Linked DNA regions of Drosophila melanogaster. The protein of the gene in region 1 purifies or fractionates together with the protein of each later gene. This does not show direct contact. Each region holds a gene or a part of one and is shown in the gene's direction. Other genes may lie near its edges. The genes, in order: smg and bard.

What was found.
Region 2: the proteins of smg (region 1) and bard purify together in Drosophila melanogaster (affinity purification with mass spectrometry, with the first as the bait; one study listed by BioGRID). This does not show direct contact.

What each region holds. Positions count from the first base shown.
Region 1 is NT_037436.4:8,990,889-8,999,172, reverse strand, and holds the start of smg (smaug), read left to right. Parts: upstream 1-2,078; 5' UTR 2,079-2,319; intron 2,320-2,601; exon of another isoform or gene 2,602-2,691; intron 2,692-2,923; exon of another isoform or gene 2,924-3,111; intron 3,112-3,255; exon of another isoform or gene 3,256-3,450; intron 3,451-3,607; 5' UTR 3,608-3,705; coding exon 3,706-6,074; intron 6,075-6,131; coding exon 6,132-7,092; 3' UTR 7,093-7,129; intron 7,130-7,635; coding exon of another isoform or gene 7,636-7,677; 3' UTR 7,678-8,284. Other genes in the region: CG5087 (uncharacterized protein), read right to left, coding at 21-510, 564-718. UniProt on the Drosophila melanogaster protein: Translation regulator that binds to the 3'-UTR of specific mRNAs such as nanos (nos) and prevents their translation. Prevents translation of unlocalized nanos in the bulk cytoplasm via the recruitment of cup.
Region 2 is NT_033777.3:18,079,098-18,083,222, forward strand, and holds bard (bard), read left to right. Parts: upstream 1-1,950; 5' UTR 1,951-2,023; coding exon 2,024-3,370; 3' UTR 3,371-3,486; downstream 3,487-4,125.

The sequences.
Region 1 (8,284 bases):
GAATAAAAGTCACAACATACCCGCATGATTTTGTAAAAATCGTGCTGCACCAGATGACCTTGAATATTACAACAGATTTTTTGCATGGCCGGCTGCAGTTTCTCAAACTGGGCATTCCTGAGTATCGCCCAGGATTTGGGCGCCGTGAAGACTACCAGTGTGTGCAGAAATAGGGCAAGGGACAAGCTGTCGGCATGGTTTTCCGGCTTCAGCTCCGGCAGCAATGTCAGGCAGTTCGTGAGCAGTATCTTGATGTGCGCGATCCAGGGCAGGCTGCGTTCCTTAAAAAGACAGAGGGCGGCATAGGATAGCTTGGTGTTCTCCGACTCCATTGCCTTGATGATGTAACGGCAGATGCGCTCCAGACGCTCCCGTGCACGCACATCGCTCTTGTCCAGCCTGATCTGGGTGAGGTAGCGACGAAGCACCGGATAGACGTTGCTTGCCACGAGTTCCAGTTCCGCATCCTTATCGTCATGATTCTCAGTGAACATGGCATCGAAATCGAGTCTGCAAAACGGGTTACTATTTAGGATGTTCCATAAAAGTAGATAGACACTTACATGATTCGTTTCTGGTACTTCCTACGCGCCGCATATCCCTTGAGCGTGGACTGCAGCAGGATGGCCGCCTGTTCGCGTCGCTTTTCCAGTGCCCGCTCCTCCCGCGCCGCCTTTGTCTGCTCCAGGAAGCTGGCCTTTTGGTTTTGGGCAAACATTTTGCTCTGCAGCAGGTTGAAAGAATTTTGTTGATGATGTATTGTTGTTGACCAGAGCGTTTGTTTTTGTCGGGATTGTGGCCGTTCCGGGATGTATTTATCGTTTCAATCACTTCCTCGAGCTGAACGCTATCCCAGAGCCTTGATTCAGAGCCTCGCTGGATATTTTCTGCATTGCATATCGAGCAAAATGCAAAAAGAAAATATCCTTATTTTGTTCCAATTGGTGGTACAGTGTCACCGTCTCCGCTTACTGTCAAATAACCACAGAAATAGGCCAAAGCGCGGAGATCATTTTTGTTGGCAATTTTCTAGCTAAAACCGTGGTTTGAGTCCGCGCTGCATGAGCACGGCATCGAACCTAGGGCAGCTTTGCTGCTCAACTGAGCGTCCATCACCAAGGGAAAGTAACCGATAACCGCTTGCAAGAAAGATCGACTGTATCGAGTACACATCGATTTTTGTTCCAGCACTAGCAACGCTGCGTTCGCGTGAATAAATAATTAATTAATTGCTGAAAAAATGGATTAGCTGGCGAAACATGCATCCGACCAAGTGCAACAGCAACCGTGCGCAGTACTCAGTAATCGGGCGTTTGTGAGCGTAAGCGCCATGAATTGTGTGTCTAAAAAAAAGTAATGGTTTAGCAAAAACAACAACGCTAAAGCCCAAAAGTGCTAATAAAAAGTACACACATACGCACTCACACAAACGCGCGCGCGAGCAAAGGTGAAAATTATAAATTAATAAATACGCGATCCGATAGCATATCAAATTAGCGAAATATGCTCGTTTCTCGTGCTGATCGAATCAAAACTGTGAATTGCAACAGAAAATAATTTCAAGGTTTGCAGCAGGCGAATAGAAGGCGAAAAGGTAATTGAAAAATAGAACGAATTTTGGCACAAGCGCACTGTAGCTATATATTTTTGTTGTCTGGCCGACCGTGGCTAGGTGGGTGGGGCGTGATTTTGGGGGCCAATCTTGTGTGTTCTGTGTACTGTGCGCTGCTGCTCTGTGTGGTGAAAACAACAAAACCCGCTTACCCCGCAGGAGCCCCACCCCTCTCCCTTAAATGTAATGCATGTAATTTACCGCAATTTTGCCCGTGCATTGCTCAGTGTGTCACTCTCACTCGCACACATACCACTGCCGACGAGCGCAGCAAGGTCTCCGTCTGTGTGTGCGTGTAAGTGAGTGCTCTCCCCATTTTCTTGACAGCAGTAGCAGCATCAGCATCAGCATCAATCCTGTCAGAAAAAAAAGGCGCGCGCTCCTTTTCGCCCGTTTCGCTCTGCCTGCCGCTGCGCTGCTTCTGCAGCTCCACCATTTTCTTTCTAAATCGCTGACGCCAGCGCCAAATCATTCGCCATCAGCCGCTCCTCCTCCGCGGTGCTCCCCACTGCAGCTTCTCGTCTTCAGCTGAGCTTCGCTGTGCTAAACCAATTCTTCTGTTCTGTGTGGTTGGATCTGCAGTTTTGCAGATATAATCAAATTTATTCGCAACGTACATATGTAAATAAAAGCGTTCGGAATATGCCAAGCGCCTGTGATCGCGACTGCTGAAAGGGCAGCCAAAATACGATAATATATAAGAGCGTGTGAGTTTGCAGTATCCTTTACGTTTGCGTGTGTGTGCGTGCTTGCAATCTTTGAACTTTGAACTTTTGTTGAACTTCGGTAATTTTTTTATTTGCAAGCCGGTTAGAAAACAACAGCAATTGCAGTGACGCATAACCTCAAAGATCGACATGCACAAGTACCGTTAGATCGAGTCGCCCCAAACGACTCTTTTGCGCTCCCAGTCTCGCAGGGAAATGTGAAATTTCATATAAAACGTTACGTTAAATAGCAAAGAAGTTAACATCGGTAAATTCCATAGCAGTGAATGTGCTTTAAATGCAGTAATTGGGGCCCGTTATGTTTTACTGCTTGCTCACACACACTAACTTAAGTTGGGGTACCAATACACAGTCAGTTACACTGTCTCTGGCTTAGATTACAGTCAACACTCGATGTCGTAAACCAGGATAAAAAAATAAAATGCAGCAATTTCTCTTAAAACTACATTTTACATTAAAAAATAGATACTTTAATTTTCAAATTTTTTGACTCCCATGCGTTGATTTGTTCAATGTTTTGTGTGCTTACTGTGAAAACACGGCAACAAAAATCGAAGAAAGTCGTCAGAGTAAAAGCAATAATAACAACAACAGCAACGGCGGCAGAAGAAACAAGATTCGAAATGGGCACAAACGAAACTAAATGAAAAGCGCGAAACTGTGCAAAAAAAATACAACCTAACCAAACTTCTCGCCCCCGCTCTACTTTCCCGCCCGGAAATCAAAATCCGAACGCCGCCAAGTCGAAATCAGCGATTTCGTATTTGAAATGTTTGTTATTTTATTGATTTATCGTCCCTCGTCATTTGCGCCATCAAAGCGAATCGAAGGTGTTATATATTTGTTGCTTGTTTATTTGCTTTCCTGATAAGCCAGCCGACCAAGCAAATGCTAATTTCCATTCGTCAATTACAGATAATTGTTGTTGCTATTGCGCTTGTAAATTTAACAAATTAGCGAAAACTGATTTGATTAAATTCGAACGTTATTTGCGGCTTAAAGTTTATTTTATTATCGCTGCACGGCACTCTAATCCCGAGTGGAGCAATGGCGACAAATCCATGGAATAAGGGAGAAGCTATTGATTGGATCACGTGGTTCGGAATTGTGGTATTTTTCTATGGAAGTGATTAGATTGGGCTAAACTAGGCTTTAAGCGAATGATACAGCTCATTGAGCATAAAAAAAATTGTATTACCACAGTCACAAAGTTTAGCTTTACATAATAGTTCAATTATTAATCCTACCCCGTTATCTTTACTTGCAGCAACGCAACCAAATAACCACAAAGAAGCCGTAACAAATACAATACCATAAACTATAGTAAGAACTATCCCCAAAAAACAAGAAGCAACTAACAACGAGATGAAGTACGCAACTGGAACTGACAACGCGATGACCTCCGGCATCAGCGGCCAAACCAATAACTCTAACAGTGCATCCAACGAGATGCAGCCAACCACATCAACGCCTACTGCAGCCCACAAGGAGGCCACATCAACGGCCACGACGACGGCGACATACGCCAATGGCAATCCCAATTCTAACGCCAATCCCAGCCAGAGCCAGCCGTCCAATGCGCTGTTTTGCGAGCAGGTGACCACAGTGACAAATCTCTTCGAGAAGTGGAACGACTGCGAGCGAACCGTCGTGATGTACGCGCTGCTCAAGCGGCTGCGCTACCCGAGCCTCAAGTTTCTACAGTATTCTATCGACAGCAACCTGACCCAGAACCTGGGCACCTCCCAGACCAATCTGAGCAGCGTGGTTATTGACATCAATGCCAACAATCCGGTGTACCTGCAGAATCTACTCAACGCCTACAAGACGTTCCAGCCATGTGACCTGCTCGACGCCATGTCCTCCTCGTCGTCCGACAAGGACTCGATGCCATGCTACGGCAGTGACTTCCAGATCACCACATCGGCGCAGTGTGACGAGCGGAAGCTGTATGCCCGCAAGGAGGACATTCTGCATGAAGTACTGAACATGCTGCCTCTGCTGAAGCCGGGCAATGAGGAGGCCAAGCTTATCTACCTGACCCTTATACCAGTTGCCGTCAAGGACACCATGCAGCAAATTGTGCCCACGGAGTTGGTGCAGCAGATCTTCTCGTACCTACTCATCCATCCAGCTATCACCAGCGAGGACAGACGTTCGCTCAACATTTGGCTGCGTCACTTGGAGGATCATATCCAAGCGGCTGCGGCGGGCCTGACAAATCGCAGTTACTTCCTGCAGCCCTCGCCGCAACTGGTCGCTGGTGGTAGCTCAACAGGCAGTGGTAGCTGTTCCTCTTCGGCGACCAGCTCTTCGACAGCATCCTGTTCGTCGGTGGCCTCATCCTCGTTGTGCCCCGCAAGCGGCAGCCGTTCCTCACGCACCAACGACTGGCAAACGATCGCCCCGCCCAGCAAGCAATTGCAAAACAAATTGGCCGGTGATTGGCGTGGCAATGGAGGCGGCAGCTCCAGCGGGTCGATCAATCCACTCTGTGATAATCTTAATGGTATTACCCTGAACGAATTAGCTTCTAGTCAGAACAGTCTCGGCCTGTCGCTGGAGGGCAGCTCTTCCCTGGTCAACGGTGTGGTCGCTGGTGCAGGCTCTATGTTGGGAATCGCTGGTGGCGACGATCATGACACGTCATTTAGCAAGAATGGCACGGAGATTCTCGATTTTGACCCGGTGACGGCGGACATGGGTGAGGCCTGTAGTCTGGCCAGCAGTAGCCTTTGTGGACGTAACGGTGGAAATCCTGTTGAGGATCGATCGCAACCTCCGCCGAATCTTCAGCAGCAATTGCTTCAGCCTCCTCCCTATGCCTCGATCCTTATGGGAAACGTGGGCGATCAGTTTGGAGAGATCAACCGGTGGAGCCTGGACAGCAAGATTGCAGCCCTGAAGACGCGGCGCTCTAACAGCCTCACCACGCAAACGATCTCTAGCTGTTCCAGCTCGTCTAACTCATCGGTGATCACGGTCAATGACAACTGCTCCAATTCAACGGAGAATCTGGCACAGTTTGCCAACAAGCCCCGTAGTTTTTCCTTATCGATTGAGCATCAGCGCGGCGCCTTGATGAACAGCGGTTCCGATACTCGTCTGGATGAATTCAAGCCCAATTATATTAAGTTCCACACGCGCAACGTGGGCATGTCGGGAATCGGACTCTGGCTAAAATCCTTGCGTCTGCACAAGTACATCGAGCTGTTCAAGAACATGACGTACGAGGAAATGCTCTTGATCACCGAGGACTTTCTGCAGAGTGTTGGCGTCACCAAGGGCGCCTCCCACAAGCTTGCCCTTTGCATTGATAAGCTGAAGGAACGGGCCAATATTCTTAACCGGGTAGAACAAGAACTGCTATCGGGTCAAATGGAGCTGAGCACGGCGGTTGAGGAGCTAACAAATATTGTGCTGACACCAATGAAGCCACTGGAGTCTCCAGGACCACCGGAGGAAAACATTGGTCTGCGTTTTCTTAAGGTCATTGACATTGTGACCAATACGTTGCAGCAGGATCCGTATGCTGTCCAAGACGACGAGACTTTGGGTGTGCTTATGTGGATTCTAGACCGCTCTATCCACAACGAGGCATTTATGAATCACGCCAGTCAACTCAAGGACCTGAAGTTTAAGTTGTCCAAAATGAAGATCTCCATGGTTCCCAAAATGCATCACGTCAAGCCAGCCGGCGTCGGGCCAAACAATGGGAACATTAACAAGCCAAGGTAAGGTTTTCAATAAGATAAAAAGTAATGCATTTTAAAAATGAGCTGTTATTTTAGATGGAATGGTAAGACTCGCAAATGCGATACTAAAAATGGCAGCAACGATAGGATTAACAACCGCAAAAACTCCAACGACATGCTAAACTTTTCGCTAAATTGCCTGCCACACCCGCTGCCCCATCATTCGCAGCAGGCTCCGCCGCCTCTGCCACAGTTTGACTACAACGGCTATGGCGGCGGTCCATCCCATCAGCCGCAGTACAAGAGCTCCTCGTACCCAAGCTTCATGGGTAATCCTCAGCAGCAGCCACCACCGCCGCCGTCTAGTAAGTCGCATCATCATCCCCAGCAGATGCAACAGATGTTGCAGCAACACAACCACTTTCCAGCGCTGCCTCAGCAGACGCCACCACAATCGCATCGCCGGTCGCTGAATAATCTTATTCTGGTGGCCGGAGGTCCGCAGCAACCGCAGCAATTGATCTTTAAGCCCGGTCAGGGAGTGCTCACCAACAACGGATCTAACGACAACCTGGTATTGGAACGCAATCAGCAGTCGCAGCAGCAGCAGCAGCAGAGAAAACTTAGCGGAGGAGTGTCCAGTGCGGAGCAACAACCAAAGAAGACCATGGCCGCTGTTGTGATGGTTAGTAATCCAAACCAGAATCAGGACCAGCACGATCAGCCCCAGATCCTGATCAACAACAATAATAACAACAGCATGCTGAACAACAATTTGATTAACCAGCAACAGTTGCAACTTTTGGCAGCAGCTGCTGCCGCCGTGGGCAGTGGCAGCTGTCTGTGCTCCAATGGTGGTGGTGGTGCCTGTGTCCACAATATCTGTCACCAAAGCAGCAAGAACAACAATCATGGCGTAGACCATTGCCTGTCCCAGTCACCGTTGGGCAGCCTGGGCATGTCGCCCCACGTCACCGAGTACAAGATGAACGACTTTAAGAGCCTAGAACAGCTGGAGACGTTGTGTCGCCAAATGACTGAACAGGCAATGAACTGAGCAAGATTCAGGGCTATCTGGGTTTTGAAATCATCATGTAATGGCGTTAGATTTGAGGCTGCCAGCTGTTTTTGTGTTCATTTAGCTTTGAGCCGTGTTTGATGTTTGATTTCATAACGAACATAAATGTTTTTATATTTAGATATTTAAGATTCGTGTCTATTTTTGTGTCGCGTCAAGTTGTCCACCCTGCGTCTCCTTTCACATCCCGTTCTGTAATCGTTTTTAGTTAGTAAGACGATAGTTTGTTTTAATGTTAAGTTTATTAACTGTATGCCAAGGCGCCCCCAAAGATATGATCAATTGACTCGGGCTCGCAGGACCAACGGCTGGCCGATGAACTTGTGGAGCCCATGCTGCACTCCCCGACGGTAATCCCATGTCGGTTGTCAGCGGGGGCGTGGCATCTTACTGTCAATGTTATTAATGTATAGGTTTCGTAAATGTTGTCGCCATTTATGTAGTTAAACTAACAAGCCAAGCCCCACAACACACACACACACAGATCGCAACAACAGAATACAGTAACTTCTCTCTACCTAGGAAAATTTGGCCAAATTTGATCAACATTTTACGCTATTCTAAACCCCAATCACAACATCAACTATTTCATTCACTATCAACAACGTCGCCAAATGAAAGAAATACCCCGATCTGAACGACGACGAAAAATGGTTTATCTAGTAAAAAATTATAAAATGAACTCTGCATCGTGACCATGAGACTGACTAAGATTACTTTTCGCAACTATAAAAACTAGAAGGAAGAAAGCTGGATGGAGAGGGAATTGAAAAGTGAGAATTGAGAAACGAGAGCTGATAATTGTTTGCGCGAATCAAAACTAGGCTTGCTGAATGAAGTAGTAGTCACATAATGAATATGTTTATATATACACGTACACATAATTTATTTTAAATTAAAAGGAACATATTTGCTGAACCGTAACTGCACCAGAGGAAATCGCAACGGCGGAAACTACCACTAGACTAAACTTTAACAGAAAAGAGTTTCAATGTTTCACTGTTTGTGTTTGAGAATCGGAACCACATATTGTATTTTGCATATTTAAGCGTAAGCCAAATCCATGTATTGCATACCGATCATGATCACCATTGTCATTGATTAGATTATCTCTACTATTACTATTATGTTTGCTTTAGTCAATTGTTTATAATGTAAATGGCAAGCCAAT
Region 2 (4,125 bases), on another chromosome or scaffold:
GTGAAGTAATTTGGCCAAAAGGGCTTACCTGATTTAACAGTGGCAGCTGTATTTCAGCCGCCGCCTGATCCTTTTGTGCCGTCCCGGTTTTTATGGCTATAGGAATTTCAGGCAGATGATGCTTGGAAAGTTCTCAACTTTTTCATTTTTATTTACCTGCAAATAATGCAAAGGAGATATGTATGTGAACAGCGTTTTAAGCTCCAACGATCTCTGTGTAAAGATAAAATATTGTAATTCATTTAAATGAACAAATCAGGCAGAGATCGAGGCTAAAAAGAACTGTCCACTTGGGAGTCAGGAAAAGTCAAAAGCCAACAGCCTCCACGGTAGATTGTTGTGATGTGATTACGTCAAAATTATTAAAACAGTCTCGAGTCCCTCATACATATACACATACATACACATACTTCGGTATGTCATGTTTCCCAATTCGTCTGCTGCCTTGATCGACACTGATCTCAGATAAGACAGTCAAACAGAGACCAACCAAAAAAAAAAAAAAAAGTATATTATAGCCGAAAAAAACGAATACCAGAGACAAGTGCATTTGCATCAGAGATATACCCCAACCCGTTTTCCAAATCTCGTGTGAAGCAACGTTTTCCCAAAAGAAGAAAACAGAGTCGCTGAGAATTCATAAACATCAGATTTGAGGTGTAGCCAACAAAGTTGTTGAAAAATATGAACAAATGAAAATATTTTCACCAACCGGGCCAAAATAGAAATGTGCATTATATCTACATTAAGAAGTTGGCTCCCCGCTCAAGATTGTCAGCATTGTCTGTTGCCCAGTTTTATGCTTTGACAGGCCATAGACGCACACAAGGCTGACAACAATGCCATTAGTCCCTGGACAAAAGCCAACCCAATGACAATTGACAACAGAGGGTATCCAAGAATTATCAATGGGAAACGCAGGGCAACTGTACAAGTTTGTCCGGGAAACGGTGTGAACCTTCTTCAACACTCACAAAAATTATTTAATAATTGTACTTAAGTCTATCCTAGCAAAATTTTACTAGATTTTAAAGGAAATCAAACTAAGAATGTACCTCAATTTTTGATATTTTTATATTTTACTTTCCTATATATGATTTTTTCAATTTATTATATGTTAAATATATTATTAACAAAGGTTTGTGATCTTATAACATTTACTTTTAACATATATATTCCTTGGACATACTTTAGTGAAAAGGATTCGCTTTTAATCGCTTCGACAGTTTTCATCAGCTACGTTTCTCCCTTAATATAAAGATAATTCTAACACTGTATCTTTAAAAGAAAATGTATTTCTTCGGATAATAAACTGTGCAGTTTCTTTTTCAGTGTCTTCTGTGATTGTGATTCCTCTAATCGCTCGCTAAGCTGCCAGACAAAAACACATGGCTTTGATTATTAGATCGTTGAAGCTCGCACAGAATCCATTCCATTCTATTCTATTCCATTTGGTGGGACTGTTCTTCGTTTACGATTCCTCTGCGAGAGTTGTTAGCATTTCCTAGAAGCCAAGCCAGGCAAAGCCGAATGCTGACCACGTTTTGTCCAACGCATCCGGCCAAGATTCTGGACTGGAACAGGGCAGTTGCTAGAGAAGTTGGCTGGGAACACGTCTGGGTTCGTGTAATATGCAAACTAGTGAGTCTCTCTAGCGATAACTGTACAGATAGGGTTTTTTTTCTGCAGCAACAACAACAGCGCAGGCTTACAAATTGCAGGCAGTATACGACGGCGCAATTTATGAGGACCGGCGCGATCATGGCGCGATCCTACAGATCAGGTAACTACAGGTAACTACTACTGAAAGCTGGCACAGCTGTTGCCAAAGGATTAGCCTGCAAAAGAGATAAGGACACTGGGTAATCCTTCCCCACTACTACCTGATTCACTCCCTCACTAAATGCACTACCTAAATTTGCATAAAAACTTAGATTCATCAAAACAAGAGCACATTCAACCAACAGCAGCCTTCGAGGAAGCAACACACAGCAGTCATCACATTTGACAGACAATACATACAATGTCGCAAATGCACAATACCGCATTCTACAAGGACGCTCTGGTTGCCCAGCAAAATAATACCTGTTCACCGATGGAGGAAATTGAACCGAACTACATCGACAACCTGCACATTATATTTTTCGAGCAGATTTTCGAAGAGATCGACAATCTGATCGATCAGGTACGCATGGCTAGGGCCTATCCACAGTTCATGCCACAGATTCTCAAGTTCTGGCAGAGGCGACTGCACCTGATCATCGGTCCAAATACACCATTCCTTGGACTCCTGGACATCGATGACTATGTCTTCTTTATGGAACACATGGCTGATAGCTTCACGGATCTGCACGTTCACGACGGCGTTGGTTCCTTTTCTGAATTCTACGACTATATCACACACCTGTGCGATATCAATATCACCAAGTTTCCCAAGGTGGACACTTGCATATTGGCGGGCAATCCCAACACAGTGGTCGATGAGGACATCCGCGACTTGACGGTAATGTTGCCCAATCTCAAGCGCCTAATGACCTGCATGAATCTATCTGGCTTATATATGCGTGGCTTCAAGAAGTTGGAGGAGCTGGTATTCAACTCCTTGTACCATTCGGTGCCATTGGATAGCCGCTGGATTCAGGATATCTGTCTGACAATGACCAATTTGAGAGTCCTTGACATTACCGATCAGTTCGACAGTTGTGTGAGACTCACAGACATCAAATTGCCCAATCTGGAAGTGCTAAAAATCAACTTGAGCACCGTAGAATGCATGCTATCGGAGGTGCTGCAGTTGCCCAAGTTACAGAAACTATCCGTGCGATTCGATGATTCGCGGCAATTGAACGCAGATCAGGAGACCATCTTCCAGCAGATTGTGGTGGCCAAAAGCGAAAGGATCACCCGAATTGCCCTGAACAACGAAGTGGTTCAATTGCCAGCTCGGTGGCAGCAAAGTTTGCTCCTCGAACTGCCCAAGCTGAGGAAGGTGATATGCGAGAATTGGTGCCACAATGATTTCTTCCTGGATCGCCAGCACATGCCCTGCCAACAAATGGAGGTGCTCAGCTTCAGTGGCTGGGAGATTGTGCGGGAGACTCAGCTCCTGGAACTGGTCGCCGAGTGCGTCAATCTGGAGCACTTGGCTCTGAACGGCTACCACAGCAACTGGGAGAAACTTACTAAGCTCGTGAATATTCGCAATCAGGAAAGGAATCCCAGACCACTGCAGGTGTTCAGCGACATGATGTGGGGCAACTTCACACCCGAGGAATATTATCACTGGCAGAGCAACAAATATGTTCAGGTCACCTGTGACAGCAGCGAATACGAATATCAGGAGGATGGTTTCGAGTTTGATTTTGAGTGAATAACAGCTCAACAATTTTACCAATTGTATATACTCCTAAACAAATATTTTTTTTCATGAATTTTGTAATTTTTTATATTTTCTATTGTATATAAATAAGACGCACTGGCTAAATCAAAAGCAACGCACATTTTCATTCTCAAACACTCCCCGATTGCAGGCAATTTTCCAAGAGGTCTCTCCTTCAACGGCAAACATTTATTTATTTCGCATTGCAGCGCTTTAGGGTCTGGCAAATGGAAAAATCAACACACTTTATGGCCAGCGAAAAGATTTAACTGTGCTTTGGGCCCCAAGTTGCCGTCATGGCTTCTTGGACTCTCCTCACATGTGGCATGACCTCCACTCACATGGCCAGTTAATTTCGCGAGGCATAAATTATTTGATTTGATTGAGTCGGAAAATGAGTTCGCAAAGTGCCCAAAGCTCTTTGCCGACTGTCCGGCTCAGTTCCCCGATCACCGAAACTCCTGACCATTGGCCAACTGGCCAAAAGAAGTGAAGTTTGGCATGGCATTGGGGATTTGGCTCTCTTACTTCAGGGTTGGCGCAATACAACTGCTTTCAAATAAGCTAGATTATAGATGTTTAACTATAATTTGTGTGTAATTGTTAATATTTTGGTTATTCCATAATGAATATGTAAACTTTGTTTTATGAGGTTTCCGATCGGAAAGGATAATCACAGGGTAGTCTAGCCTTCTGGATTATAACATAATATCCCATAACATATCTACTATAAACGATAACTATCC